Linked DNA regions of Saccharomyces cerevisiae S288C. Changing the gene in region 2 together with the main gene of any one other region gives a genetic interaction. Each region holds a gene or a part of one and is shown on either strand. Other genes may lie near its edges.

What was found. Genes that interact genetically often act in the same process or in processes that back each other up.
Region 1: of PPX1 (region 2) and VTC5, changing one suppresses a phenotype caused by changing the other (phenotypic suppression), as found in Saccharomyces cerevisiae (one study listed by BioGRID).
Region 3: of PPX1 (region 2) and PPN1, changing one enhances a phenotype caused by changing the other (phenotypic enhancement), as found in Saccharomyces cerevisiae (one study listed by BioGRID).

What each region holds. Positions count from the first base shown.
Region 1 is NC_001136.10:620,396-625,221, forward strand, and holds VTC5 (Vtc5p), read left to right. Parts: upstream 1-1,716; coding exon 1,717-4,326; downstream 4,327-4,826. Other genes in the region: ILT1 (Ilt1p), read right to left, coding at 4,671-4,826. UniProt on the Saccharomyces cerevisiae protein: Regulatory subunit of the vacuolar transporter chaperone (VTC) complex.
Region 2 is NC_001140.6:497,786-505,384, reverse strand, and holds PPX1 (exopolyphosphatase), read left to right. Parts: upstream 1-4,241; coding exon 4,242-5,435; downstream 5,436-7,599. Other genes in the region: 40S ribosomal protein eS4 RPS4B, read left to right, coding at 138-909; SMN1 (Smn1p), read right to left, coding at 1,189-2,997; proteasome regulatory particle base subunit RPN10, read right to left, coding at 5,500-6,306; NBL1 (borealin), read left to right, coding at 6,526-6,598, 6,666-6,814; AIM46 (Aim46p), read left to right, coding at 6,963-7,599. UniProt on the Saccharomyces cerevisiae protein: Polyphosphatase (polyPase) involved in the degradation of inorganic polyphosphates (polyP) that is able to degrade a range of chains from three to several hundreds of residues in a highly processive manner.
Region 3 is NC_001136.10:1,361,254-1,365,402, reverse strand, and holds PPN1 (endopolyphosphatase), read right to left. Parts: upstream 2,526-4,149; coding exon 501-2,525; downstream 1-500. Other genes in the region: thioredoxin peroxidase TSA2, read left to right, coding at 1-331; YHP1 (Yhp1p), read left to right, coding at 3,222-4,149. UniProt on the Saccharomyces cerevisiae protein: Catalyzes the hydrolysis of inorganic polyphosphate (polyP) chains of many hundreds of phosphate residues into shorter lengths.

The DNA.
Region 1 (4,826 bases), on a different chromosome or scaffold from region 2:
CATATGGAGCGGCCTCAATGAGTAGCAACGAGGGAAATAATTACTTGCTTCGGCTGCATTCAGTGATTAGTTAAAAAGTCGTCACCCTAAGTTTTTCTGTCGTATTTTAGGCATTTTCATTTTGAGGAAATATCGTATACCTGGTAATTGCCTATATTTTGAGATGAAGACTGTTTCTCATTTCTTTTTGGTCATCTCCTTGCAGAGCATTTGATAATATAGTAGTAATAATGAATTGTAGTCGATAAATGTTAGTTGATTCTCATTCCTATCGTATCGATAAGGAAACCTGAGAAATACCAAGGTTCAACGATAATGGCAAACATGCTTCATTAATCGGTATTCTTGATCAAATACTTCCTTGCCTGCCATACGGCATCCCTTAATCGCAAAATAGTAATATTCTTTCCAACTATATAACCGTTATTTTAACACACATTTCTCAAGAGACCCCTTTCTAGAAATGGCATGGAGTGGCAAGTATCTTCAAGCTATTTTTTAGTTGTTCATGTACTCCATAGAGTGACGGTTCTTGCAATTTCAACTAGTTTCAAGATAGTCATAAAAATTTGCAACCGAGCCCATTACTATATATATATATATACAAAAAATTTTAACATTAAACCTTGAGCTCGGGTTTTATCTCATACCAAGTATTATCAACCTTTGGCCGGTGTGTTCCTAATATGGTATCGATTTTCAAGTATACCGTGTAACATTTGGTTTTTGAATTATCCAGGGGTATTGCAAGGAATATCGTGGATCCTGCCATATGAAGGCGTGGATCTTAATTTATTCACCTTTACTGATCGTACCAAACGAAGTAAGCGTAGAAAGCTAACCAATTTCCTCTTGTTACAGAGAGAAAACTTTTCTTGTACAGTAAACTGAATATGCTACGTCGTAGACTTACAATGACGCCGCACTTAGGGATAGTAGTTACCTTGCTCACTTTACTGTCGTGATCATTACACCCGTACGTAATCGATGATCATTGCAGGAGAGGGGCACTTTGGTCTGACATCACTTTTTTTACCTAATCAAATAGATTGGCTTTTATTTGACAGATAAGGTTTATGATCTCTTTTTTCGAATGGAAAGTTCCATGCAGGCACCCTTTATCTCATTGTATTTAAACTACATATAGAATGGATGGAAACGTGGCAAGTCATATCAGGACGCTTTGAAGACTGATAATTAAAAACATTAAACAAGTTTCCAGATATCAGGAAGCGACCAAGCCAATATTCAGAACTTTCGTTTCGAAAAACACAGTAATATATTATTCTCAAAAATTACCACACTTTTTTTAGGCAAGGCTGCAAAATAATACCAGAAAAGCAGAGGCGGTTCTTAACTTCTGTGTAAATTCAGTGCAGGAGGACGGGTGTTGTGTTATTAACTTGCAAGGAAAAGAAAGTTTGTGTCTCCCCTTGTTCTACGCTAGCGAAATGGGTGTGTGGAAGAGTCAAAACTGAACCAAGAAAAAAAAAAAAAAAAAAACAAAACAGATAAAAAGATAAACAAAGGCAAGATCAAAAAGCCCTATCGTGAACGCTATCAAAGGACTTTTAAAATTCATAAATTAATAGTTCGTCCGTTGCCCTCTTGAATATAATAGAGATAGAGTTTAATACTTGCTTTTTACCTTTGCTTTTTTTTTGTATATCTCCATCTCAGCCCTAGGTAAGGATAGATACGAAGGGTTGTACAATCATGAAATTTGAAGATCGCATATTGAATAAATCAATCCCTGAATGGAAATTCTACAATATTAACTATGAGAAGTTAAAAGTAGCCATAAAAAAAGTAACGGCTTATGATTATGACAATCCAAATGATTCGGGCATGGAGAAGTTGTTGAATCAATGTTCAGTAGCCTTTGACCAGGAATTTCAAAATGTTAATTTATTTGTTTCTTTGAAAATAAAGGAAATTTCCACTCGTATTCTTTCTGTGGAATCATCAATAATCGATTTTTCAAAGGGCTTAAACAAAACTTCCAGAAACCGTTTCAACCTTCGTAAACTGAAAATCATCAACGCTCATGTAGACGATTGTAACTTTGAACTACAACTACTGTCAAGGTTTTTGATAATACAAAGGATTGCCTTGAGAAAGTTATTCAAAAAATTACTAAATGAATTTCCTCAAGACAGTGAAAATCCATTGACTGCAAGTGAGTATGTTACGTCGATCAGAAACTCTGAAAGTTTACGAAATGGACACGAAGGCATATCATTTATGAAGCTTGATTTAGATCCATATCTTTTAGAAGTTTCGCTAATTGTTGATGTTTTACATGATTTGGAAAATAAACTTGAAGATGCAACTGAGCCAGCAGTGGAGCAAAGATCCCTAAACCGCTCCGATGAATCTGCCCATACAAGTTCAAGTCCAGAAGCCAACAATTCTTCCTTGCCAGCATCTCCAAGGTCAATTCCGCTACTTTCAAACAAGAAAACTTCAAAAATGATTGATTCTTCGCTAGAATTCGATACTGCCCTCATAGATAAAGCAGAGAATCTAGGAAGGTTTTTATTATCGTCCGAGGACATAGAGGGACTGAAGTTCATGCTATTGAATATTGGTTTTAGGATAATTGACGATAGCATCATATCCACTTCAAAGGAGATTTTAGACACTACAGATAATATTAATTCTGCGGGCAACAAATCTATAAGATCAGCAAAGTCATTCAATGACTTACAACATACCTTATCCCTATCTAAACAGAAGAACATATTACCCTCTGCTGTACAATCCAATGAGAAGTACGTTTCTATTAGTATACTAGATACTGTCGGGAACGAAGGCAGTCCTTTACTACTTACTGATGATAATATAAATCAGCACCCAAACATGATAGTCAGCTCTACTGCTGAGGATACTTGTATAGTAATGTGCCACGTGGGCGGCTTAAGAAATCATGTTGTCACAAATGATCTGCTTCTAAGGGATGTAAAGAATATTCTTTCGGCCATGAGGAGTGGCAACGACACAAAAAATATTAGCGCTCTCATAAACTCACTGGATCCATCGCCAATCAGTAAGATCGCTTTGGAGTGGATTCAGTCCCATCGATTAAAAACCATTGAACCAAAGCTAGATTTTAAAAGAACAAGATTCATATCAGCAGACAATGGAGATATATACTTGATAGCTTTGGATGAATCTATCACTATTGGAAATGTATCTACATTACCCTTTCCAATTTTAGAAATTAAAAAGCTTAGTCGATCCAGTGGTCTTTCACAGACGGCTATTAATGAAGACAATAAGTTTAAACAGTTAATGAAATCAGTTGTTACAAATGAGTTTCAATGCAGCTTAATACCACCAGACTTAACCACATGGAAAATATGTTTAGAATTAGTACACTCAAATGAATTGCAAAATGATTTATTTCAACTTTTACTAAGAGATCAATATAAATTAAATTCCGATGATTCGCTATCACCTGATGAATTTTTCCAGCTGGGCAAGGATCGTCTAGAGGAAGAGTTTGACCTGACTGGGCCGATAAACAACTCACAAGGTAGTGTTGACAGCGGCAGAAGAGTTCGAATTCACAAAAAATCAAAGCAATCGGATAATGAAACTAAAAAGAAACCTATTAGGTATTGGAATGAATTTGATGAACAAGAAGAGGATAATTTAGACAATGCTTTTTACATTGATACTAATGGAAGCAGGAGTACAACAGATAACGAAGAATCCTTACTTTTGAGAAATTCTCCGCCTGATTATGGGTTTATTTTGTTTAGCCGGAATTTCATCAACCGCACATATGATTTTTGTGAGAAGTTACGAAACTTGATTCGCCATGACAAGAAAACATCGCCAGATTTGTTTCAAAACTCTAAGCATCCGCATTGTTCATCAACTAACTATGGTTCTGTTGCGTCATTTGGTTCACAATCAACTTCAGCGTCATATGATGACGTTCAAAGGTACTTACAGTATCAACAGCAAGACATAGAGGACTCACAATCTATCTACGAATATAGGCATGACGAAGTTGTTACATTTTTATACTTGTCTGCACTGCTAACATCTTGCATTATGGCAAGTGTATGTCTGGGAATCGTTTTATCCTTGTTTCGCGGGCAAAGTAATAATGAGATAGATTTAGAAATTCAAAATATTCTCATAGCCATTATTATCATTTCCTTACTGGTTTCCCTTATTTTGATCTGTGCGTGCCTGTTGTTGTTATTTAGTCGGTTCACTTTGGCGCCAATCTGGCATTATGTTGGTTGCTTCACAATGTTTTTCTCAGTTACTGGAACAGTGTGCTATGGTATGATTGAAATTTTCTTTTAATTATTTTGGACGATAAAAGTTTTTCATGTGTACAGTCTATATAAAATATGCATATCATGTGGTTACATAAGAAGAATGTTAATCTTGTTTGGAGATTTTGTTTTTGGAAACTTCGCCATTGCGAAGGGTGTTGCAAACTGAATTTCTGTTTAAGTTTTTAATTAATAATCCTTATTTTGATCTTTTCTGATGGCCGTGTTTGAACGCATAGTATTGTGAATATAAGCGAAGTGAAAACCTTTACACCTGCGGCAGATGCCATATTACTGCGCTAGTGGTGAATATTATTAAGCGTGCTATCAAAAAGAGATGAAAACGTGCTAACTAAAAAGGACTCAGATTCGTTACACACTTAGCCTCGAATAACGATCAGGATCTGTTCTAACCACAACTCCATGGACAGCATGCAATGTTTGGGCTCTTGATAACGTCCCCCCATCAGTACTATCGTATATATTAAAATCGTCTGCAAAGCTCGAAGCATCGTCGGGGATTGAACA
Region 2 (7,599 bases):
ATAAGAGTTGTGTTTATCTATCTGGAAGATAGAATTCTGATGAGAAACTTTATCCTTGTTAAGTAACAGATAAGCATTGCGGGATATTTTTACTAACAAGAGTACGTTTAATAATGTTAATACGATTTTTCATATAGAAAGAAGCATCTAAAGAGATTAGCAGCTCCACACCATTGGTTATTGGACAAGTTGTCCGGTTGTTACGCCCCAAGACCATCTGCTGGTCCACACAAATTGCGTGAATCCTTGCCATTGATTGTCTTTCTAAGAAACAGATTAAAGTATGCTTTGAACGGCCGTGAAGTCAAGGCTATCTTGATGCAACGTCACGTCAAAGTTGACGGTAAGGTTAGAACTGACACCACCTACCCAGCTGGTTTCATGGACGTCATCACTCTAGATGCCACCAATGAAAACTTCAGATTGGTCTACGATGTCAAGGGTAGATTCGCTGTCCACCGTATCACCGATGAAGAAGCCTCTTACAAATTGGGTAAGGTCAAGAAGGTCCAATTAGGTAAGAAGGGTGTTCCATACGTTGTTACCCACGATGGTAGAACTATCAGATACCCAGACCCAAACATCAAGGTCAATGACACTGTTAAGATTGATTTGGCCTCTGGTAAGATTACTGATTTCATCAAGTTCGATGCCGGTAAGTTGGTTTACGTTACTGGTGGTCGTAACTTGGGTCGTATCGGTACTATCGTTCACAAGGAAAGACACGATGGTGGTTTCGATTTGGTTCACATCAAGGACTCCTTGGACAACACTTTCGTCACTAGATTGAACAATGTCTTCGTCATTGGTGAACAAGGTAAGCCTTACATTTCTTTGCCAAAGGGTAAGGGTATCAAGTTGTCTATTGCTGAAGAACGTGACAGAAGAAGAGCTCAACAAGGTTTGTAAACATTTTAAATATTGTTATCTGCCCTCTCTTCGTCTTTTGTTTAATATAAATAAATTCTAAATCAACTATATATATGTATGTATACATATACATATACATATATCAATTATAAAAAAAGTGACAAGCATTATACATACAATTTTTCTTTTTTTTTCATGAAATGTGTAACCAGTGTGCCTCATTAGAGACAGGGACGAGAGAGCAAAGGTGCAATTTCCGCTGCAAATGAACTTTTTTAAACGATGTGCATAAATAAATAAAAAAAATGGCAGAATACTCTAAAATTGAGAAAAGTAATCCCGTAATAACTTTTTGGTTGAATCACCACCATAATGGGAGCAGTCATTGGTGGTCAAGTTCTCCATACGTAATCCTAAATCATTTATGATAGAATTTACGGCGTTTAATATATCGAGTTCCATAAAGGAATAGAAGATAACATGAACCATCTTCGACGGATCAGCTTCCTCTTCTTGCACTTTCTTCACCTCTTTACATTGCACTACATTGGGGATATCGTATTCTCTTTGTGAATTGTGAGGTGTGTCATCACCATGACACCCGAAATCGTCTTCTGTGGTGTAGCCTTCGCTTAAATTTGGATTATTGATGAAGGGACACTTCTGAAAACCGCCAAAATGCTGTTTGTGATGAGACGATGATGGTATTCCTAATGAGGCAATGACAGGGCCCTTGTTCAAATAGGTTTCCACCCTGGAGGCAACGACCAATGGAACTGTGATGAAGCGCCAATCATTATTGAATGGCATCACTATATACTCAGTATCCTTTGTAAATGGGCCTTTGTAAAGATCGTACCTGACAGAGCCAGTGTTAATCAAAATGAAACGACTCATCGAAGGTTCATAGTTTTTGGGAGGAATTAAATTGGGTAAAATCTTATGCGTGATCAAATGATAAAGATTCTCTTCGGAGTTTAATGGCCTTGTTGAAACGTAGTAAGTTTGAGGAATGTACCCCAGTTTCTCGTTCAAATTTAGTTCATGGCGCAGATCATTCACCAAACGAGAAATAGTTTTACCCTTTTTCGTTGAGACTGGAACATTCGAGTCATGCCCTAGTTTGCTCAAATGGTATTTGAAAGCTTCCTTGTTAAAGTCAATATACCTTCTTGAGAAAATAGGACTTTCGGCGTCCACAGGGTCAGTCATATTAATTGACAAGAATCCCACAGTTTCCGCAAATCTACCACTTTGTAAACAAGTAGATTTTGAGTCCAGCTGTACAAAATCCCTGATATGAGTGTGCCCTCCAAAATATTGTATAACAGTATTTGGGTAGTATTTCCTTATTAGAGCATGAATTTTGTGCATTTCACGCTCTGTAGGGTCAGTGGCAGGCAAATGACCAAAGACAATAATTAGGTCGATTTCCTCCTCTCTGTTTGTCTCAACCATATTTTGGAACCAGCTTTTTTGAGTTATTTCTTCCAATGGTGGTGTTACGATGGCTCTGTTATTTGCTCTTTGAAAACTAAACAAAAATGATAATGCCAGGACTCTTTGTTTCATTATGGGAGTCTCGAATGTAATGTATTTATTCCCGAAAGGAACCCTTGTTCCGTCATCTTCAATAAATTCTACGTTGCTGCAAACATATTTGTCTTTGAATTTTGAGGACTGAGAAGTTCCTCTATACTCTAGTATGGCACTTTCAGCTGTATATAGCTCATGATTACCTAACGTTAAAAGATCGTAATCCATCATGTTGAATATCTCCGAGCTTCGTAGGCCGGGGGGCCAAGTAGCATCACTCAAACCATTACCGTCTCGTTTGTCGCCAGTGTCGATGACTATTACGTCTCTGGACTGTCGTAAAATTTTTTCTCTAAGTATATCTACAAATGCAACGAAATCTCCCCAGTCAGCATCATAGTCGTTTTGTGATAGATGGGACCCCAACCAGCCATGAGTATCGGTTGTATGGATAAAATTTATATCCCCTATATGGATATCTCTTAATGGTACATCCTGCGACGGCGCTAAAACTGCCTGTTGTTGTTGATACGGCTTTGCAAAGATTAATCCTGTAAGAGCAACTAAACAGTGTACAAGCTTTAGTATCATTTTACACTGTTGCGCACACCTTTATTGCATTCACTCTCTTTGTTATTGCTGTAGTTCTTGTTGACGGCTTGAGGGGAAATAAGCTTATCGGCTTTTGCAATTGGCGGCTAGTTGGCGAAAGAGCGACTGATCGATAAGGACACTAAAGTAAAAAATAATATTAAAGATATACTGTAGAAATGTTTCATTATGGTTGTAATAATAATTTTACGTCATGCAATGGTTCAGATAGAAAGTTCGAGTTTGCTCTGGAACACAATTGTTTGTTTTCCTGCTTTCAAGTTAGTGCCATCTACTCTCTAACTACGGACGCCTTTACCGAAACCTATCTAGACAAATGTGTCTTTCTTGGAATAATATGAGCGTATATATGATAACGTTCGGGTGAACCTAATGCCTTGGTTCCTTACTCTATTTTGATCACTTCCTTTTTCGTTCGTTTATACATTTTGTTTCTTTTTACCAATATTCAACTTCTGAACACATAGATTTTAATTAAGATACAATTTGGCGAACTTAATTTGCAAACGATTTTACATGTAAGAAATTGTTGTACTGAAATCTTGATGTTAAAAAGTGTATGACTTTTACAACCTTTAGCAAGTATAATGGTTTGTGAAAAGAACCGTAAAATATAATCGTCATCTTAATAAGTTGCTAATGAATGATCACTGAAATTTCTACAGCAACAAAATTTATAACTCAAGTACAGTCGTGTTTTGCTTTCACTACGATCAATAGTATTATTATTACCGATGATTCCACTGTTAGTGTTATTATATTCAAGAGTGTACACTTCTCGCTAAGTAATGAAGAAATTTGCACATCTCATGTGTACACTCATTATACAAGATCACTTTCAACAAGCATTGAGTCACTAGAAAATTACAAATTATTTTCCCAGGAGGTGTAAAATGGCATATGTTTCTGCTGTCCTTGAAAAAAGTATGGAATAACCAGAAGCTTTGATAGAAAACGCCGAGGATAATACTCTGTGTAAAGCTCTAACCTTCATTCATTTTGTCACATTATCCACCTACTTGAATTCTAATTTAGAATACGAGTCGAAATAGTCTCGAAGAATAACTCACAACCTTTTTCCTATTATCTGTATGCTATACATGCCGCTGATTTTTCATTTTTTTCACTTTTAAGAGTAGAAAAAAGAAACGAAGTGTACATAATTAACTAAAGCCACTTGAAACAAATAATCAAAAAGTTCAAAACACCGATTGTTAAGAAAGATGTCGCCTTTGAGAAAGACGGTTCCTGAATTTTTGGCACACTTAAAATCACTGCCAATTTCAAAAATTGCAAGCAACGATGTGTTAACAATATGTGTTGGTAACGAGTCAGCAGATATGGACTCAATTGCTAGTGCAATCACTTATTCGTACTGCCAATACATATATAATGAAGGTACTTACTCGGAGGAGAAAAAGAAAGGAAGCTTTATTGTCCCAATTATCGACATTCCTAGAGAAGACCTCAGTTTAAGAAGAGACGTAATGTATGTCCTAGAAAAACTGAAAATTAAGGAGGAGGAATTATTCTTCATTGAAGATTTAAAGAGCTTGAAGCAAAATGTCTCCCAGGGTACTGAATTAAACTCTTACTTGGTAGATAATAACGATACACCAAAGAATTTGAAAAATTATATAGATAACGTCGTTGGCATTATAGACCACCATTTTGACTTGCAAAAACATTTGGATGCTGAACCTCGGATTGTAAAAGTGTCCGGCAGTTGCTCATCGCTGGTTTTTAACTACTGGTATGAAAAATTGCAAGGTGACCGTGAAGTGGTGATGAACATTGCACCACTTTTGATGGGGGCCATCTTAATAGACACTTCAAATATGAGGCGCAAAGTCGAGGAAAGTGATAAATTAGCTATCGAGAGATGCCAAGCTGTTCTTAGTGGTGCGGTTAATGAAGTGTCTGCGCAAGGTTTAGAGGACAGCAGTGAGTTTTATAAAGAGATAAAATCAAGAAAGAACGATATTAAAGGATTTTCGGTAAGCGATATTCTAAAGAAGGACTACAAACAATTCAATTTCCAAGGAAAGGGACACAAAGGGTTAGAGATTGGTCTTTCATCAATAGTAAAAAGAATGTCTTGGCTATTCAATGAACACGGTGGTGAAGCAGATTTCGTCAACCAATGCAGAAGATTTCAGGCGGAGAGGGGGCTCGATGTATTGGTTCTGTTGACTTCATGGAGGAAAGCTGGTGATTCACACAGAGAATTGGTCATATTGGGAGACTCTAACGTGGTACGTGAACTCATTGAAAGGGTTAGCGACAAGCTCCAACTTCAATTATTTGGGGGCAATCTTGATGGAGGTGTGGCGATGTTTAAGCAACTGAACGTCGAGGCCACCAGAAAGCAAGTCGTCCCCTATTTAGAGGAAGCGTACTCAAACCTGGAAGAGTGAAGGGAGATGTTATATATGCTTTATTTGGTTTATATATGACCCATATAGATATTTTTGTACACTACTATTTGTCTTGGTGTTGTTCAGGCTGTTCAGACTGCTCAGGCTGATCTTGTTGTTGTTGCTGCTGTCTTAACCTTTCCTGTCTTTGCTGCTCTTCTTCCATAGACAGACGCAAGGCCATTGCCAGTTCTGGGTCCATTGATGGGTCTACCCCGAAGTCCATAAATGTGCCATTGGCATCGGAATCACCGCCAGACCCACCAAAGGCGCCCATACCGGAGGATCCTTCTTCGAGAATTATGGGTGAAGATGCGATGTTCTCGTACAGCAGTCTGGGGCCAGGCGTCACAGTAAGCAAATGACTAGTTTCTTCTTGAGGGTTGTTCACTGCAGCTATGAACTCATCCAAAAGCTCCGTGTTCTGTTCAATCTCTCCAAAATTGATGATGTCCACGGCAACATTATTCTTTTTCAGTGTTTTTGCCAATCTGATCAATTCGTCTCGAGAATCACTTATTGGGCTACACACAAATGCCACAATCCTTTGATGTTGGACCTTATTCTGGCGATGCTTCAAAGTCAGCTGAGCGATCTGCAACGCAGTGGCCATATGCAGCTTACCCTCGATCTGCGTGTCGTGTAGTCCAGCAAGAATCTTCCCAAACTCGGCGGTAAACGTAGATAACACCCTGGGGTTGGCGCCAGCACCAGAGATAAGACCCACTGTATTCTCAGGATTGCTGTTTCTCTTGGCTTGAAATATGAACTCTACCGAGTCGATCTGGGCTTCAAACCTTGTCCTAGGAAAGTCGCCATTGCGAGAGTACTCTGAATTATCAATCACTAACACTGTAGCTTCCAATACCATTGTGCGGTTACTGCTGAGTTATTTATTGACTTTTCCCTTCTTTCTTTACGCTTTAAAAGTCTGATATAAGTGTGTATTTAGTTGTAAATTCCGGTGGCGAAAACCCGCCTGGCGGAAATAACCCGGCAGCTATAATGCCATATAACTTCAAGAGAATACAATTGTAAACAAGAAGTGGCAACAACATCAGCAAAAGGGCAGCTGCCGCACTCGGTTACGATGATACCGGCTCTCACTCCCGAAGAACGGCAGAAGTTGCGCAGCGCAATACTACATCGAATGCAGCTGGAACGTATGTCACCTCACCGCAACACTCTACCCCCAACCTTCACCCGCACTAATTACTAACACAACCTCAGTGGAAACAACAGAAAAACTGATCGAAAATATTAAAGAGGAGACGTTAAAGAAACTAAATCTGCTCCAGCAGCCTGATGCAACATCAGCGCCTCAATCAAAGGAACTAATCAGAGAGGTGCTTGAACAGGAAGGACGCCGTATAGAATGATTAGTTCGTATAATGGACCCTTTCTCGGTATTCGCAATGATGCACCTATTACTAATCAGCGGCCGATTTGTTGGTATTAAAGCAGCGTGTGGTTACATCCCCTTGTTGAATACATGTCTACTTAGCAGAAGGCCAGGTATATGGAAACATGCGTTTAATCAGTAAAGTTTTGGTGAAAACAAATTGCCTAGAGGTAGGTATGAGGAGGGCCCCACAATGGTATTCTCACTACTCTACTACAGCGGGCAATGCTCGTGTGAACAAGAAGGGCAGCAAAGTAGTGCCTGTGTTAACAGGGTTAGCACTGGCATCCATATTCGCGAAGAAATGGTATGACGATTCCCAGATCAAAAAGGCGGATGCCACCAGCGTTGCAGTGGACGCATCCATCTCTGCGTTCCCTAAGAAGATGGGCCCCCCACAGTGGCCCTTCTCCACGCAATATGAGCTGATTGGTAAGGGTGTACGTTGTGTCTCATCGATCACTTTCAAAGCATATGGTCTGGGCATATATGTGGCCGCTGAAGACAAACATCTGGTCTCTGAAGTACTGGACTCAAAGTTCCTGTCTCAGGCGTTCATCGACACTGCGGCACCCCCATCACCGGAAAACTCACATCAGGATAATTTGCGTGCGGCTTTGAACGATCCTGCTAAGGCCCCTATCCTGATTAATAACCTCTTAGACAGCGGAATCAGACTAATGTCCAAGAATACTCCGATAAAAGCAGGTTCCTTCAAGTTATTGATGGACGGCACCAAAAAGAGCGTCCTAAAGAACCCAG
Region 3 (4,149 bases), on a different chromosome or scaffold from region 2:
CAGAAAAGACGGTGGATTAGGTCCAGTTAAAGTTCCTTTGCTTGCTGATAAGAATCATTCCTTATCCAGAGACTATGGCGTTTTGATTGAAAAAGAAGGTATAGCTTTAAGAGGTTTGTTCATAATCGACCCGAAGGGAATCATTAGACATATCACTATCAATGATTTATCTGTTGGCAGAAACGTCAATGAAGCTTTGAGATTAGTCGAAGGTTTCCAGTGGACTGACAAAAATGGTACAGTTTTGCCATGCAACTGGACCCCAGGAGCCGCCACCATCAAACCTGACGTTAAAGATTCCAAGGAGTATTTCAAAAATGCCAATAATTAATCTTCGCACGATAACGCTAGGCCCTATTAAATAATTAAAAATACATCACCCTATATATGATAAGAAAGATGGTTTTGTATTATTATGAAATTGACTTGAAAGAATAGTGTAACAAAAGAAAAAGAAACTGTAATTGAAGAATGATATGCATTTCTATGTGTATATTAACTTAATCATCTTTATATCCAGAAGACGCAAATGACCATTCGACGTATTTTTCCCATGCAGGTTTGTTTTCGTATAATCTGCCTGCAAGATCCAAATAACTTCCTACTGTTAACGAATCCATTGAGTATGGTTTCTCGTCTGAGGTATATTCTATCTCATACCTGAAAATATCCTTAGATTCAACAAATGAATTATGTAATTCTTGATTGATTTTTTCCAAGTCGGCGTAGAATTGGACGAAACGCGTCGGAGTGAATAACTGCGGTACATATGCAGGGCCGAGTTCGTATTTGTCTGGCATCTCAATTGGCATAGTCTTGTCATTTTTCTTTTTCTTCTTGTTTTTCTTTTCGCCCATCTTCTCGCGGTTGATCCCAACCTCGATATTACTGCTGTCCATTTCATCTTCTAGCAAAGAGTCTTCCATAATCTTATTTAGTGACTCGAAAAATTCATCCCAGGGCTTATACTCCGAAACTGCAAAATTGGAGTCATTCACTATGTCGGTGATGTTATATTCCCAGATCCTAAAGGAAGGATTGAAAGTTGGAATGACTGAACCACCTATGTTCACAATGGAATAGCGTTCAATGAGCTCTTTTCTAGTGATTGGCTTTTTCTTTTTTTTGTCCTTCTTTTCTTTCTTTTTCTTCTCATTTTCAACATTTTTTTCATCCACTCTTTCCAGCTTATTCCACACTTTCCGATAGTATGTGTCGCGGACGGTGTTCATATATGCTTCTTTGTTAGATGGTTTCGCTCCCATTAAAAAAACTTCTTTTGCCGCCATAGCGTGATCCAGAATTCTATTCAATTCAGTTTCTTCGTCCTCTTCATTACTGTCTTCTCCTTGTTGAACACGAGTGGATTGCTCCATGGCTTTCAATAACGATTTTCTAGCTTTTTTACCATCCGTTGGGATGAAGTGGTCAATATTCATGTGACCGTATAATCCTCCAATGATTATATCCCTGTATTCGTGAGTCCATAGCGTGAACTTATCGTAGCACGACTGATCGAAATTTTTTGCGATTGGAGGTACATGTCCACTTAACCATACTTTCATTCCCCTACTCCTTAGTTCTTCTAATACATAACCGAACCAAAGTAAAAGTTGGTAACCTGGTTCTTTTTTTGAATTACAATTGTCAACTAACGGATTGGCCTTGAATAAGTACAGCGTGTTAATTGACAGGACAGCAAGCTTCCCTGGAATAACTTCAGTCAAAAATGAAGCACTCCTATCAAAAGTTCTTTGCTGCTGCTGCGGAACAAAATTTTTCCAAATCCTATAATATTCTCTAGTTTGTAGAGTTGGTCCTAGTGCAAACATGTTATGTGGAAAGACATCATTGTTTCCAAGACTTGGAATGACAGACACATCAAAATCTCTTGGATCTTCTTCATTGCCAGCACTAAATAATTCTGTCATTTTATCAGCAACGATATTGTTCATATCAAAAATTTGTGCTTCTGTTCTTGGATGTTTCCGGTCATTGTCATGTCTGATATTATCACCCGTCCAAATGACAAAATCAATCTTATCTCTAAGATTTTCTTTAATCCATCTCAGAGTTTCTTCCATTAAAATAACGGGAGAATCACATCCAGACATTGCCTTCCCAAACTTGGGTGCCACATCCTTTTTTTTGCTTGGTTTTCCTGTGTGACAAACTGCATCAATAGAGCTTCCTTCCACATAATAAGGGTCAGGATGAATATCGGTAATATGAAGGAACCGTCCATGTAATTTTCTCTCCTTCCCTGTCTTTACGTCTTTGATAATTACTGGCTCCCTAGGTGTCAGTCCTAGCCTTGTAAATTCTATGTCATTGAGCAATTGAAGTGACTCGTTGTCCCCCCTGTCATCTAAGAATTTGGAGAAAACGGAAACATATTGAAATTTAGCACCAATTATAAACACGAGGAAAAACAAAACACAGGTCGACAGGATGGCAATCAATGATTTCTTCTTCGGCCTACTCATGCTTACATTGCGCACTTCACTCTTACCCACTACAACCATCGAAAAGCAGCTAACTAGCTCTACCCCTACTCAATGAAAACAATAGCTGGAGACAAGGAGATCAAAAAAACTTTATAATTCTCCAACCCAACAACCAAAAAAAATATTGATCTGTTGATTTTAGCCTTCTTCTGACTTGTATTCTACCATAAAACCCTTTACACTCTCAAATGAATCTTGGTAATTAAAAGTGCAATATAACTTTAAAGGTGCTAAATTCTAATAACGACATATGTCCTCAATAGTCGGGTAATGGTCATATTTGTCCTCTACCGTACGAAGGGAGCATATTATGCATCCTGCTCGAAACGCTCAGAGAAGGGCCGCACAGGTGGGCAGATCACATTTCCTCTTTCGGCTATAAACCACGTCCTAATTTGGACATGACGCGCGCCAAAAACCCGGAATGGTAAACATCAGACGCGCTTTCCGTGCAGGGATACGTCGGTATTTTTAATATCAATGCTGAATTGGGTTAATAGCATGAGACATTTCAGCCAGATTTTTCGTTTACTCATTGTTTATTTGTTTGATCTGGATCACACAGATGAATGTTTATAAATATATATATGGCGTCCTCCCGATCTTGCCAACGTAGATTATAATTCGTATTATCTTCTTCTTTACCCTCGCCAGCCAGTGTAACTAGCATTTGTAGGGAAATAACAATAACACAAAATATCGTATATATATAACATGGAAAGCAGAAATACCGTGCTTCCTTCTTTACCAAACATTATTACAGGTACTTCTAATTCGCCTTTCCAACTGCATACTTTGCCAAATACAAACTTCCCTAGTGATGACCAAGGTGACATCAGGTTGCCACCATTAGCTGCATCTGCGCACATTGTGAGACCAGTGGTAAATATTTATAAAAGTCCTTGCGATGAGGAAAGGCCAAAAAGGAAAAGTCCACAGGCTGTGGATTTCTTATCACAACGTGTAACCACTTCCATGACGCCTTTATCCAAGCCCAAGAAGCTGAGCTCTCATTCACCATTCACGCCAACGGTCAGAGTCTGTTCTAAAGAGCAGCCACCTCAGAGTATGCACTCTTATAAAAAAGTTAATATTCTTACTCCTCTATCTGCTGCAAAGGCTGTTCTCACACCAACCACAAGAAAAGAAAAGAAAAGGTCATTTGCCTTTATTACACACTCACAGGAAACTTTTCCAAAGAAGGAGCCTAAGATAGACAATGCTCGGTTAGCTCGTCGGAAAAGAAGAAGAACTTCATCATATGAGCTTGGGATATTGCAAACAGCATTTGACGAATGTCCCACGCCCAATAAGGCTAAAAGGATAGAGTTATCCGAGCAATGTAATATGTCCGAAAAATCGGTTCAAATATGGTTTCAGAACAAAAGGCAGGCTGCTAAAAAGCACAAGAACAGTGGCAACACCAGCCATTGCAAAGTTCACTCTAATGATTCGATGTCTATGATATCTTACTCAGACGCTGCGTTGGAAATTACCTCTACGCCAACGAGTACGAAGGAGGCTATTACTGCAGAGTTGCTGAAAACTTCACCTGCCAATACGTCCTCGATCTTCGAAGACCACCACATAACGCCTTGCAAGCCCGGCGGACAGCTCAAGTTCCACAGGAAATCTGTGCTTG